Linked DNA regions of Oryza sativa Japonica Group. The protein of the gene in region 2 binds, or shares a complex with, the protein of the main gene of each other region. Links are inferred from orthologs where the notes say so. Each region holds a gene or a part of one and is shown on either strand. Other genes may lie near its edges.

Evidence for each region. Proteins that work in one complex are often made in the same cells at the same time.
Region 1: the proteins of NADH dehydrogenase [ubiquinone] flavoprotein 1, mitochondrial (region 2) and NADH dehydrogenase [ubiquinone] flavoprotein 2, mitochondrial are in contact, whole or in part, in a cryo-EM structure (PDB 9F5X), measured with the Chlamydomonas reinhardtii proteins. The link is inferred for Oryza sativa Japonica Group from reciprocal best matches to the Arabidopsis thaliana genes CI51 and AT4G02580. Residues at the interface, in XP_001702590.1 of Chlamydomonas reinhardtii: Asp58, Glu59, Arg61, Phe63, Gln64, Asn65, Ile66, Tyr67, Arg69, His70, Met78, Ser79, Arg80, Gly81, Tyr84, Met85, Glu88, Ile89, Lys92, Trp96, Gln100, Tyr133, Glu142, Pro143, Gly144, Thr145, Cys146, Arg149, Glu150, Arg153; in XP_001698508.1 of Chlamydomonas reinhardtii: Thr42, Arg79, Tyr80, Pro81, Tyr84, Gln86, Ser87, Ile89, Ile90, Pro91, Asp94, Val95, Glu125, Val126, Phe129, Tyr130, Thr131, Met132, Phe133, Gly147, Thr148, Thr149, Pro150, Arg152, Leu153, Gln154, Glu184, Met185, Glu186, Cys187.
Region 3: the proteins of NADH dehydrogenase [ubiquinone] flavoprotein 1, mitochondrial (region 2) and NADH dehydrogenase [ubiquinone] iron-sulfur protein 4, mitochondrial are in contact, whole or in part, in a cryo-EM structure (PDB 8BED), measured with the Arabidopsis thaliana proteins. The link is inferred for Oryza sativa Japonica Group from reciprocal best matches to the Arabidopsis thaliana genes CI51 and FRO1. Residues at the interface, in NP_196470.1 of Arabidopsis thaliana: Gly131, Arg132, Pro133, Glu237, Arg247, Leu248, Pro250, Pro251, Tyr259, Gly260, Cys261; in NP_201560.1 of Arabidopsis thaliana: Tyr140, Ser141, Phe144, Trp146.

The regions. Positions count from the first base shown.
Region 1 is NC_089039.1:25,329,358-25,333,597, reverse strand, and holds the start of NADH dehydrogenase [ubiquinone] flavoprotein 2, mitochondrial, read right to left. Parts: upstream 2,804-4,240; 5' UTR 2,753-2,803; coding exon 2,651-2,752; intron 2,543-2,650; coding exon 2,486-2,542; intron 2,372-2,485; coding exon 2,306-2,371; intron 1,910-2,305; coding exon 1,793-1,909; intron 1,270-1,792; coding exon 1,192-1,269; intron 1,116-1,191; coding exon 1,010-1,115; intron 877-1,009; coding exon 830-876; intron 641-829; coding exon 563-640; intron 129-562; coding exon 63-128; intron 1-62. UniProt on the Arabidopsis thaliana protein: Core subunit of the mitochondrial membrane respiratory chain NADH dehydrogenase (Complex I) that is believed to belong to the minimal assembly required for catalysis. Complex I functions in the transfer of electrons from NADH to the respiratory chain.
Region 2 is NC_089041.1:27,139,126-27,143,401, reverse strand, and holds the start of NADH dehydrogenase [ubiquinone] flavoprotein 1, mitochondrial, read right to left. Parts: upstream 2,805-4,276; 5' UTR 2,693-2,804; coding exon 2,639-2,692; intron 1,030-2,638; coding exon 1-1,029. Other genes in the region: protein DMP2, read right to left, coding at 4,132-4,276. UniProt on the Arabidopsis thaliana protein: Core subunit of the mitochondrial membrane respiratory chain NADH dehydrogenase (Complex I) that is believed to belong to the minimal assembly required for catalysis. Complex I functions in the transfer of electrons from NADH to the respiratory chain.
Region 3 is NC_089041.1:24,023,865-24,027,977, forward strand, and holds the start of NADH dehydrogenase [ubiquinone] iron-sulfur protein 4, mitochondrial, read right to left. Parts: upstream 2,804-4,113; 5' UTR 2,727-2,803; coding exon 2,556-2,726; intron 1,281-2,555; coding exon 1,192-1,280; intron 739-1,191; coding exon 609-738; intron 1-608.

The DNA.
Region 1 (4,240 bases), on a different chromosome or scaffold from region 2:
ACTGAGTAAAACTTGTCGCTAGAAATATCAAAAGAATTATTTCGTTCAAGAGCAAAGCTTACAGGAGGGGTTTCTCCTCTTTTCAGCATCTCGACGATCTCAACAACTCGTTTAGGAGTGAGGTCCTCCTGAAAAGGGGAAATGGAAATGCTCAGTTACAGTACACAAATAAGTCTTTTCTTCCTCTCTCAGCAAAAGGCAGGCAGGTTTTGTTAAGTTTTATCCACTCGTCTTTTGTTACTCTGTTGGCATTAGTGCTTTCAGTGCCACAGTACTGCTATAGCATGGAAGTTTAGCAAAAAAATGTAGCTATGTTAGCATTATTTCTCCAAAGACGCCTGCTAAGAAGTATAGAAACCCAGGGGCCCAGCATCCTATAACATGCAAGTTTATATTCTTCAGTTGACAATGTTTCATTTTGTGCATAAACATGAACTAACACGAGTGGGCACCAGCTGCTAATTCTTACTAATGCTGTGATGTTTCTACTAAAATTTCCACCGCGTGTACTAGCATAAGTCATCAACAATAGATAATCGGATGCATCAATGTGTATACTTACATAATAGTTGTATGTGTAACCCTCTGAACCTTTAGAATAATCGGCCACAGCAATCATGGGAGCATTCACACAGCAGCCCTGTGAACATATAACAGAAAGCTGAATAAAAAGTTGCCTTGTACTTATGTTTTTTCATTAGAGTACTGAATCATTCACTGACAAAATCCTACAGACCATTCCTATTGGCTATAGTTAAACACTTAACTCAACTAGAACACCTATTTGCAAGCATCCAAAATGACAGAAAATTATAGATCTCGAAGTTACCATGCACTCCATTTCTCCAACAGAAAATAAACCATCACTGGTCACCTCTGCAAATGAAAGAAAAATGTTAATGCTATCACAGAGATAGCAAGAGAAACACATGCTCGAAGACCGTTTGTGGTAACAAATCAGGAAGTGTTATTCTTAGTTGATAGGATAAGTTATGTGAATAATACAAACCATTCCGTTTAACTCCAAGATGTTCTAACAAGGCTTCTTCAATTTCACGTGAACCACGAATCATGCAAGGTGTGGTTCCACACACCAAAAGGTGATATTTACCCACCTACATGGCAAAATAGGGTGAAAAGATGCTAGTGGAGGGATTAACAAGTACAAAATACTAAGTCATGCAAAGATACCTTAGTCCGGTTAAACATTGTGTAAAATGTAGCAACTTCATATACTCTGATTGGTGCAACTTCAACGATCTTAGCAATCTGAAAGTCCAAGACATGAAAATAGTATTGTCAGAAATGCTTTTTGTGAGCACAGTGGTGGTGGAATGGTGGTTGGGTCTATGTACAAAATATCTAAAATGTAACATAAGCTATAACACTCCCAGTAGCAATGTTATTGTAATAGTCCTAGTCCTGAGGAGATTAACTCAATTGTAATTATAATTATATAAATATGTCAACTGATATGCTGACAAGAACTTTTTCTTTTGTGATTGCCAACCCCCATTCTCCAATGCCTCTTACTATTAAGGCTCCTAATTTCCTAGTGTCACCCATCTTCAGTAGGACGAAGAAGTGAACAGAAACAAGGCCAGTGCAATAAGGTTTTGATTTATGAATGTCTGCTAAGCAAGTCCAATATAACTATAGCTAACGTGGGTTGTAACAACTAACAAATGTTGAGGTACATCACTTTCTGAAAATTGAAGTATTGAAAACAGGATATAGCACATTAAAGGCGGAAAACAGTTGATCATCGAAAGCTCATAAAAAAGGGACTTACAGCATTCATTGCTGCAACTGGCACCCATCCACCATGCTGCTGCTGGGCAAGATCAAGCATTGGAATAATACCAGACTGCTTGTAGTTGCTTGGATAGTGAGACAATATCTCATTAACCTGAATTAGTTATTGAAATAGAGATTTTAGGCCAGATAACCAAAATAGCTGATACAATTGATATAAACCGTATTCACAAAACCTAAATCCCATGTCAAAGGAATAGAACACTATACCCCACGTCTCTATTACATTTGGACATTTGCAGATTTGCACATTTCTAAAGGTTTTACATGACAGATAACGTTTCCCCTTCTCAAATAACCAGCAACCAGTTCCAACGTAAGATTATATTATTATCTAATAGTCCTGAATAAAATGGTACCCTAACAGCCATTTCTGAACATCCGAAAACAAAACTGAACAAATTCTGCCACAACTACTCCAAAACCAGCCACTGTTCCAATCCAAAACATAAATCACAGGGAAATGAATGAACGAGACGAACAACAGCACCTTCTTCATGTTGGCCTCCGTGAACTCCCACGGCATGTCGGGGTTGTTTTCCGGCGAATCGAGGTGCTGCACAACAAGCAAACCCACAAATCCGACTCATTATCATCCTCAGACAAAACAGACAGATCAGGGAAGAGGGTAGGGGGTGGATCCGAGGGAAGGGGGAGGCGCCTCACGTACGTAGTTAAGCGCCGTGGAGAACAGCCTGGAGGAGCAGCCCGCGGCGGCGTAGGAGATCTGCAACGAGACGTTGCCCCCGGAGGGAGAGATCAGGACGGCAAAGCTCCGCCGACGAACAGCGAGGAGATACAGAGGCATTTGGAGGAGGGGGAGGGGGGCACTGACCGGAGAACGGGACAAGCGTCGCGCCGCGGCCGATTCCGAGGCGGAGGAGGTCGCGAGCCCTAGGAGGCGGCGGGCCGCGAGGCGGGCGGCCGGCGGCAGCATGGTTGGCCGGCGGTGGGGGAGGCGACTCGACTCAGGCGAAGAGGGGGGAGGGGAGCGGAGTTGTGGCCGCTCGCGGAGGTAAGTAGCTCGGCGTGACGTCAGCAGCACCGGCCCAGTGGGCTCTCATGGGCTTATTGACCCAATCGGCCCAATAGTAATAATTCCTTCGTGTACTGGCAATTATAACGATCTTTTTTTTTTTGGTTGGGCAATTATAACGATCTACTGTCCGGATTTCGTAACAATAGGATTCTGATATATCATACTTCATACTGGATTGTTTATTTTAGTACGGAGGAAATATACCGGTAGATCACCAATCTTCAAGCAAAATGAATCGTCCTATATATTATAGGCCGAGTTTAGTTCCAAACTTTCAACTTTTCCATCACATCAAAACTTTCCTACACACAAACTTTCAACTTTTCCGTCACATTATTCCAATTTTGTGGAGATTATGGATACCCCATACCAACACGGCATTTATAATCCGACTGGGTATGGGGTGCCATGTATAGATAGAATATCTTTAAAGGGACTTGGGTTAAATTCCAAACTTGTATGTTAAGGAAATACCCGGGATCTTAGTCGGTTAAGATTGAATCTTATCTGTAACTACCTATTCCGTTAGGGATATGGACTGTATTTTATAATACGGACCCCTTCCCCTATATAAGGAGGGGTCCAGGTGCCTCTTAGGGCACGATCTGCTCCCAGATCATACGATCAATAATACACTCGGCAAATCAATCCCCGGACAGGAGTAGGGTATTACTTCTTGTTAAGAAGGCCTGAACCAGTATAAAATTCTTTGTTTCTCAACCCATCCACTTTTCCAGCTTGATAGCCACCCCCTTTTAGTATTGCCAAAATCTTGTTTCGACAATTGGCGCGCCAGATAGGGGTAGCGTCAAGTTCTTCGCCGATTAGTGCGATGGGTTTCGTCTCCGGCATCGACGACTTCGTCTTCCCTCCCGGGCAGGCGTTCCGGTTCGGCAGCCTCAACTTCTTCACCAACGACTTCGGCAAGATTTCTCTTCTTGACTCGGATTCGAACCAGTCGGGAAGAGACCAGGTTTCCGCCCCGTTCGTACCCCAAACTTGGCCGAGATCTACCCCAAGATCATCTCAACCGAGTTGGCCCCAAACCACTCGGACGAGATCCAATCTACTCCAACACGACCCGATGAAGACAATAGAGCCTATCCGCCAATCCTGATGAAACTCCTCAACGATTTGGCTGTCGTTTTCACCACAAGAGCGTCATCTCCCCGTAGGTCTAGGCGGGATCCGCCCTGGCCCCGATCCAGTCTAGCTCTAGGGAAGTCGGTGTCATACTCCAGCCTCTCGGCACGGTTTCGACGAAACAGTTGGACGGCTACCTCAGCTCCCCCGGTGTCGACTCACGACCAACGGAGATCGTAGAGTACGACGACTTCGGCTACCGCTACGACTACCGCAACCTCGACGACTTCGACGAAGGCTATG
Region 2 (4,276 bases):
ACCAGGAATAATTGCAAGCAGGTTGTCCCATCCTCCTCTCACACCTCCACAGTGCTTTTCAATCAATTCCTTAAGAGGTATGCTCATTTCCTCCTCGACAGTGCAAGGTTTGTTCACATGACCTGAGACACAGAATAGTTTAGTTCCCGAGTTATTCTTGCGTCCAAAGCTTGCAAACCATTCTGGACCACGCCTGAGAATTGTTGGAGACACAGCCACTGTTTCAACATTTGTGACAGTTGTGGGGCAGCCATATAGGCCAGCATTGGCAGGGAAAGGAGGCTTCAACCTTGGTTTACCTTGCTTGCCTTCGAGACTTTCCAGTAGGGCAGTCTCTTCACCACAAATGTAGGCACCAGCACCAAAATGTATATGCACATCAAAGTCATAACCAGATCCACAAGCATTCTTACCAAGAAGACCTGCTGCGTATGCTTCCTCCCGAGCTTTCAAAAGGTTGAGACGCTCATTCACATATTCACCTCTAATGTAGATGTAAGCAGCCGATGCCCTCATCCCAACTCCAGCAATCAAACAGCCTTCCAGAAGCTTGTGGGGGTCATGACGCATGATTTCTCTGTCCTTGCAAGTTCCTGGCTCACTCTCATCAGCATTAACAACAAGATAAGAAGGGCGTCCATCAGATACCTTTGGCATGAAGGACCATTTAAGCCCAGAAGGGAATCCTGCACCTCCACGCCCTCGAAGTCCCGATTTCTTCATTTCATTCACTATCCAGTCTGCCCCTTTAAGCACCAAATCCTTGGTTCTATGCCAGTCACCCCTCTTCATTGCACCTTTCAGGAAAGGGTCATGCTGACCATAGAGGTTGGTAAAAATGCGGTCCTCATCTTTGAGGTCACCAAAGTGAGTCTTCTCCGGAGGTGGAGGTGGTGGTGGAGGTTGTGGTGTGCTTGATGTAGTAGCAGCCTGAGTGCTGAATGATTTGCCAGCAGAATAAAGGCCAGCACCTGTTAGAGAACGAGTAGGCTGTGCTCTCGATAGATAATGGAGGTACTCAAGTGCAGCCTGACAAGAAAAAAAAAACCAATTTGTTATCACAGCTTGATCCATGAGATGTGATTCAGGACAAAAAAAAGTTTGTAGTTACTTTACTACAATACGCCAATACTTGTCAAAAGCAAAAGACTAAAGTAATCTTCATTTGAAAGCTGACTAAGTATCCAAGCAAGTGTTGAAAGAAGCAAAATTAAGAACAACATGAACATCAAGAAATGATCAGAAATACAGAATTCTGATGCTCTTGCCTTCAGTTTTTAACTAGTTAAGTGAACTAGAATAGAGTAATTAGAACATGGTGACAAGGATCTCTACTTTCAACTCAAACTTGCTGCTGCAGGTAAATGGTAAATCAACGAATAGAATGGGAACAATTTTGCAGATTTAGAAACCAAAATAAATACATCAAGTTCAAATATATCAGCCCATAAGTGAAACATGAATTATATATAAGCCCAGCAGGTGCCTACAATGTTGGAGCATTATTTTAGAAGTATCTAAGTAACAAGAGAAAAGATCAAATGCTCAGTTGGCAGCAAGTTGGTGTTTTTGATAATCTCATTGCAGCATAGAGCATACCTGTCCTGATAAAGGACAGGTTTTCAGTATCTGCAATACGATTTTCCTATTTGTAGTAGTGGTTTTATATGCAAAGTAAAAACTAAGTAAGCCTACGAAAGGCATAAAAGATAGTATCACTTTGAGGTGAAGTATCATTTGTTGTGTTCTTAGTTGTACCCAAAGGAGAAGCCACGAAATACCAATATCAAACACATTTATATCCCTACAGAATGTAGCATATTCATAAATGCACCATGTTTGTTTAATCTATTGAAATAAGATAACCACAATACTGGTATTCCGCTCGGGGCATCAGGGAAACACTAATATAGTAGAAAGAGTAAAGATCGTTTCGCGTTTCAATCAAGTAAAGGAGTGCAGCACATGTTTTCATCAGCAATATTGAATACAAAGAGGTAGCAACAAGCCTGTAACTGAATGGTCATCTTCAGTTCAAAAACGAGCTTTTGAATTATTGTTCTCTATTTCAATCAAGCAAAGGAGTGTAGCACATGTTTTCATCAGCAATACCGAATACAAAGAGGTAGTAACTAGTCTGCAACTGCATGGTCATTTTCGGTTTTCACAAATGAGATTTTGAATGGCCTATCCAAGCAATTTACGGCATGCTCCGAGTATCCACGACATAACAAGAAACCACATCCGCAACAAACTGAAACTCGATCCTAAGCATCAAGTCGTAAACACTTTACAGCCAGAAATCCCTACAGAACTAATACGAAATGCAAAAGAGACGGACATGGAGCCCCTCCTAACTGTCCATCGGCATTCCATGCTCTACATCGGTTACTCCTCTCCCCTCGACCTATCCTCTACTCCCGGAAGAAGAAGAGATTCGTCGCCATGCGCGCACCACCAACACACATCGACTGGTGCAAACCCTCCTCCACCCTCCCACAGCTCAAACCCGCTACGCGCACTCCTCTCAGATTCTCGCAAAGGCGGTAACAGCGTTCGCGCCCCTCGTGGTTGGGGGATCCAGACCGGAGAGAGATGGGGGGGAAGGAGGAGAGTGGAGAAGGGCGGGGATTCGGACCTTGCGATCGGGGGAGATCTCGGCAGATCTGAGCAGCGCTCGCCGCAGCGCCATCTCCGCCTCCGCGCTGCTCCTCCGGAGCTCTCGGATTGGGGAGATCGGGGGAGGATTGGGGTGTGGTGTGCCGGAGAAGAGAGGAGAGGAGAGAGAAGAAGGGAGACGAGACGGCTGCGTGCGTGGGTGAGCTCCGGGCCAAGAGGAGAGGCAGCGAGCGTGAGGCCAACACACGGACGCGCTGCTCCCTCCGACCTGGAGTGCTAGCTATTGGGCCGGAGCGGAGCTTGGCCCATAATACTAGTTGGGCCGTTGTGGGGAACTTCCAGCCCGTATTATTAGTTGGGCCGTGACGGTGCGGCCTGCCGTAGTTTGGTATTGGCCCATATGAGGCCCGTAATGCTAGTTGGGCCGGGACGGTGCTGTGGCGAACTTCCGGCCCATATTATTAGTTGGGCCTCAACGGGTGACGTCACCGCCTCACCGGCTACGTCCGGTTTCCAACCCCGGCGTTGGTCGGCCACAGGCGCCACGGCGTCCCGAACGTCTCCACCGGCCAGATCGTCTCGTCGGAGCAGACAAAACTGCCGGAGCTCCGGGGCCACCGCGTGTTCGAGCTCACCGGCCGCCGGCGGCGAGGACGGACCTCGTTGCAAATAATTTTATTCTTGGTGCTACCATTTTGTCATGCTCTAGTAAGCATGCATGCTAACTACCTTGCAATATTCAGATGAATTTATATATGTTTGCCAAATTTATCATCTGCTTTCCCACAGATTCATCCATTTCAATTAAAGATTTCCACATCAATATAGGCTGGTTTGTTTTGTGGCCTAAATTAGCCTTACCAATTTTTGTCAATGCTAAATTTTAGCAAATTTTGGCATGCATAATTTTGGTAAGGCAAAGTTGTGTTTGGATTGAAGTCAAAATAGCCTAAATTAACTATTTAAATGACTTATTTTCTTAGGCATGCCAAAATTTGACTCCAAACCAAATAGACACTAAACGCTATTAAAATTGTCAAATATTGGTAAGGCTAATTTAGACCCCCAAACCAAACCATCCCTATAAGTCATGAACTGCGCAATATGAGGCAAATCAACAAGATCGAACTACCATTTTTCATGCTCTAAGCACGAATGCTAACTACAGCATTCATAGAGTTCTTACTGAACATTTTCGCTAATATAATCGTGCGGACATTCAATTCAGATGAAAAACTCATAAATGTTTGCCAAGTTTATCATATAGTTCCCCACGGATTCATCCATTGCGATGGAATATAACAAGTCATAAACTGCACAAAGATGAGGCAAATCAACGAGATCAAACTAGCTCTTGGCCTTATTAGGTCACAAACAGACAGATGAACAAATGCGAACAAAAGCATCAGACAGAACACATATGCACACGTGCAAATATTTAAAAAAACACAACCCATAAAAAGGAAGCACATGCCTGCATGGCAATGCAAATCGACTAATCGGGCTCGCCGCCTACAGCGACGCCAGCGACGCCGTGGCGGGCTTCGCCGGCGGGTAGCCGATCCCGTGGCGGGTGGACGGGAACACGACGAAGACGACGCTGGCGAGCGCGCCGACGACGACGGGGAGCGCCATGACCACCTTCTTCTGCTGGTCC
Region 3 (4,113 bases), about 3.1 Mb from region 2:
CAACAAATATAAAGGCTCGTGGTATGCCAATGAATACTGCACCATAGCCCCCCAAAAGCATTCCTACTGTCGAGAACATATTTTATACGCAAATAATATACGAGTTACAAATTGTTTGAAAAAGCTCTAGTTTGCCACAGAAATAAAATCAAAGTTCCATGTGTCCTAACTAAAATTACAAGTACAACAAAAATCGGGAACAACAGATTTACTCCTTGAGTTATACGAAGGATTTTTAGAGATTTTATTTTTCAAAATTGAAACATCGACAAGTGATTCTGAAGACAAAGATTTAAGGCAAATAACATTAAATCATATGGCACATTGGATGCAAGGCAATCTGAAAATAAAAGACCATGCACCCATAAATGGACCAAATTTCCTTCAGAAACCTGACCATCAGAATTCAGAACACTATAAAAGAACATTCCTTACTTTAACCTCTAAATTGTAAAGAATTAAGAATCAAATGATCCTATACATTCAAGAGAGAATATGCAATTAAATCCTGCTCCAATATATCCTAATATTTCAGAAATAAGTATAGCCTTATTTTTTAAACCTGATGTTAAGTATCAGGAATGGATAGACAGATAGTAAGAACTCACCACATAATCCCATCCATGCTTTTCAGCAAATGCCTTTGCTGAATCTGCACTGTCAAACGTAAGCCCTGCTTCACCAACATTAGCATATGGATCTCCAGTAGATGTCCATCCCATTAATGGGTTCTCCCACCTATTATTCACACAAATGTTAGAAGGGGAAAAAGCGGCAGCAACTGAAATAGTAATATCTAATTGTATGCTAGAATGCTATATAATAAGGAGGTGATACATAAAGCTAAATGAAGTAAATGCATGAGACATAAAAGAAATGAAATAGACTAAGTACACACTGTTTGACCAAACCAAGGTGACCACCTCAATGAGAGGTCAAATGCATCAGTTGCAAGGCTTTCATTGTACAAAAAAAAGGGGGGGTAATCTCACGTTAAAGGAAAAAAAGAAACAGACTTCAATCGTCAATGAATTCTTCTGTTATGAATGTAAATCAAGTTTTAATATGAGACTATTTGTTTTCATTTGATATATTATTGAGGCAGTTCACCAAACAGCAACACAGGGTTTGAGGTAAATAATTCATGAAAATGAATCAACAATAACCAATAAAACAAAACTGGAAACATACTTTTGGGTTGACACAAAGTTGATTTTCCACCTCCCGACTTTGCCTGAACCCTGCTGAGATGCAGTCCTAGCGGGTGAATATATTACAACCTGCAAATACACAAGGATAAGTTGATCATGTCTTCCCAGCTAGGTAGTTGAAAAGCATACAGTGAGTCTTAAAAGAACAAAAGTGGCAGCAACAAAAATCATATTTTCTTTACAGTATAAATATTTAAACCTATCTGAATAACACAATCCTGTCGTAGGCCATTTAGAAGGCCGTTTACTGTATAAACACTAAAAGGTGGGGGAGACCACTTGTTAACAGTCTAATGATCTACAAGAACATAGATCACAATCAAAATATTTTCTAGGGCTCACTCTGTATAATAAATCTGCAAAAACATAAGATCTATTGATGTGTAGGCATCCTCTCTCTGCAGACAAACATAAGGTTGATAATACCATGAAAAATGTGACTGAAGTGGTGCTATCAGCATTGGGCCATATCATAAGATGCTTCTAAGCTCTTTGAAGTTAAGACGGATCTTTGAAACAACAGAAGAATTGATCATCAAACAATATTCGTATTAACGAGATTATGTTGTAGAGAAAACTATTTCATGGAAGCTCTGTTCCTCAGAAGTCAGAACAAGAAACTACCACTCTACAAGTAGGCCTCTACATGGATTTTGAGGTAATTACAAGAACTATGAAATGGTATGAAACAGACATTAGTTCATAGTCCAACAAGTTATCTAAATTCAATAGCTAAGCATTGCTAGCAATTTCATCTTTCTTTGTATGCAGTTAGTTCTATCAAATGTATTTTTAAGTTTGATGTACACCAAGAAAATGGATAAATAATAAGCATCCTAGCATCATCTAAACTCTGGTATGTACAGTTCTCTAACACCAATACTGTCAACTCTAATCACAAACAATTTGAAAGGTAAGAACATACACCTATATACATTCAGTCATTCACAGTACATAAACCAAATCAGGATAATTTGATCAAACTCTGTTGCCTCCAGCCCTCCACTAACATAATCTAAAGTGGGAGAACCCAACCTGGAGAGCAGCACATTCCTCCCAAGTTCTAAACGCAGTTCAAACCACACAAGCGTAAAACATCATCACCAAATTCGCATTTCTATCCACTCCACGATTCGAACGTCTACTAGCGATAGCACTGTAGTCCGTACGACGAGTTCACGACCCGACGCCTCCAGGCTCTATGCCTCTATCCCTAAACACGAGTAACGACCAAAACAACCCACCAAACCTGGACATCTCGAGCGATTCCCACACGGATCCGCGAGGGCTAGCCAATCTATCGCCACTACATAAATCAGAGGTAAGGTCAGCGAAGCACCGCACCTTGCGGCGGAGGTGCTCCTCGGGGATGCCGGAGACCATGCCGATCTCGCCTGGCTTGATCTCGACGAGGGCGTCGGACGCCGCCGCGGAGAGCATCCGCGCGGGCGCGGGGGACGGCGAGAGGAGCGTGCGCCCCAGGGAGGGGAGGCTCCGCCGGAGCGGGGCGGCCATCTCGTCGGAGCCGTACGCCGGTGAGGCGGATGGTGGAGGAGAGAAGGGGCGGACGAGAAGGCCGAAGGGGAAACACCGAGAGAGAGAGAGAGAGAGCACTTCAGAACTTGGGAGAAGAGACGGCTGGACCGAGGATATGTTGGAAGCAGCTCATGTTGGGCCAATCTTCTCGGCCCAGTGTTGTGGGATCCGATTGGTTTATGGGCCGGGCCTTGCGGCCCAGACTGGTGCGAATTCGATTTGTTTCTGTGTGCTGGGCCCAGTTATGGTCCAGTGGGTGATCTGCAGCCTTGGAGTTGAAGGCCCATACCGAGGTTAGACTAGCTCGTTGGGTTTTGGTCCAGATGAACCACTGACTTATCTGGGCCGGCAATGTTATATTGGGCTGCCTCTGGAATAATTCTTGATGGCCCTTTTGATAATTTATAGAATTCATTTTTCAGTTCCGTTATTTCAACTACACCGTGATGAAGTTCATCAAGAGCATAATCACCCATAATAAGTGTATTCAGATAATTTAATACACCATTTGGTCGTGAATATTTGATGGTTAGGCCGGACAATATTTGGATGGCAAATTTTACTACAAAACATCTAAATTTCGTGTAATTTGCTGATAGACATCGAAAAAACATTCACAAATGAAAGACATCTAAAAATACTAGTAATTTGTTAGAGAACAATATCGACTCAATTAAAAAGATAAATTCTTGAGAAAGACAAGAATGCCCCTAGAATCACATGCTTCAAACATAACGTTAAAGTACGAATTTAGAAATTATGCAACTCCAAATTTAGCATCACCCCAAGTACATCACTAGTATACGTGATATTTTATCTTCACCCTAGTCTCAGTTCAAAATCTTTTGACCGTGGGGGCATCCTTGTCTTTTTTAAGAACTTTTCTTTTCAATTGAGCCGAAAGTGTCATTTAGCAAATTATCAGTTTTTTAAGAGTGTCTTTCAGCCGTGACACGTTTTTATGATTTCTATCAACAAACACAAATTTTGAGTGTCCTATAGTTAACTTTACCTATTTGGATCTTACTTTTGAAACTTTAACTATCAATAGTCTTTGAAATGCTTAGTTTAAAAACAAAAGACTTGGTAGTATCAATGTTTTATGCCCATAATATAGACTAATTAAATTTTATAAACTTAATACTAATTGGCCGAAACTTGTTTTAAACGTTAACTATCTAGAAAACGAGGGAGTAAGTCTTTTGTATTTCGCCTAAGAATGAAAAGTGATTAACATTGTGTAGGAGGACAAATACGTATGACTATGATCACATGAAGTTCTGAAAAAAAAAAGATCACATGAAAATGCAAGATTACATCTCTAAATCATTTTCAATATCGATGCCAAAGAAATCCACAAATAAGT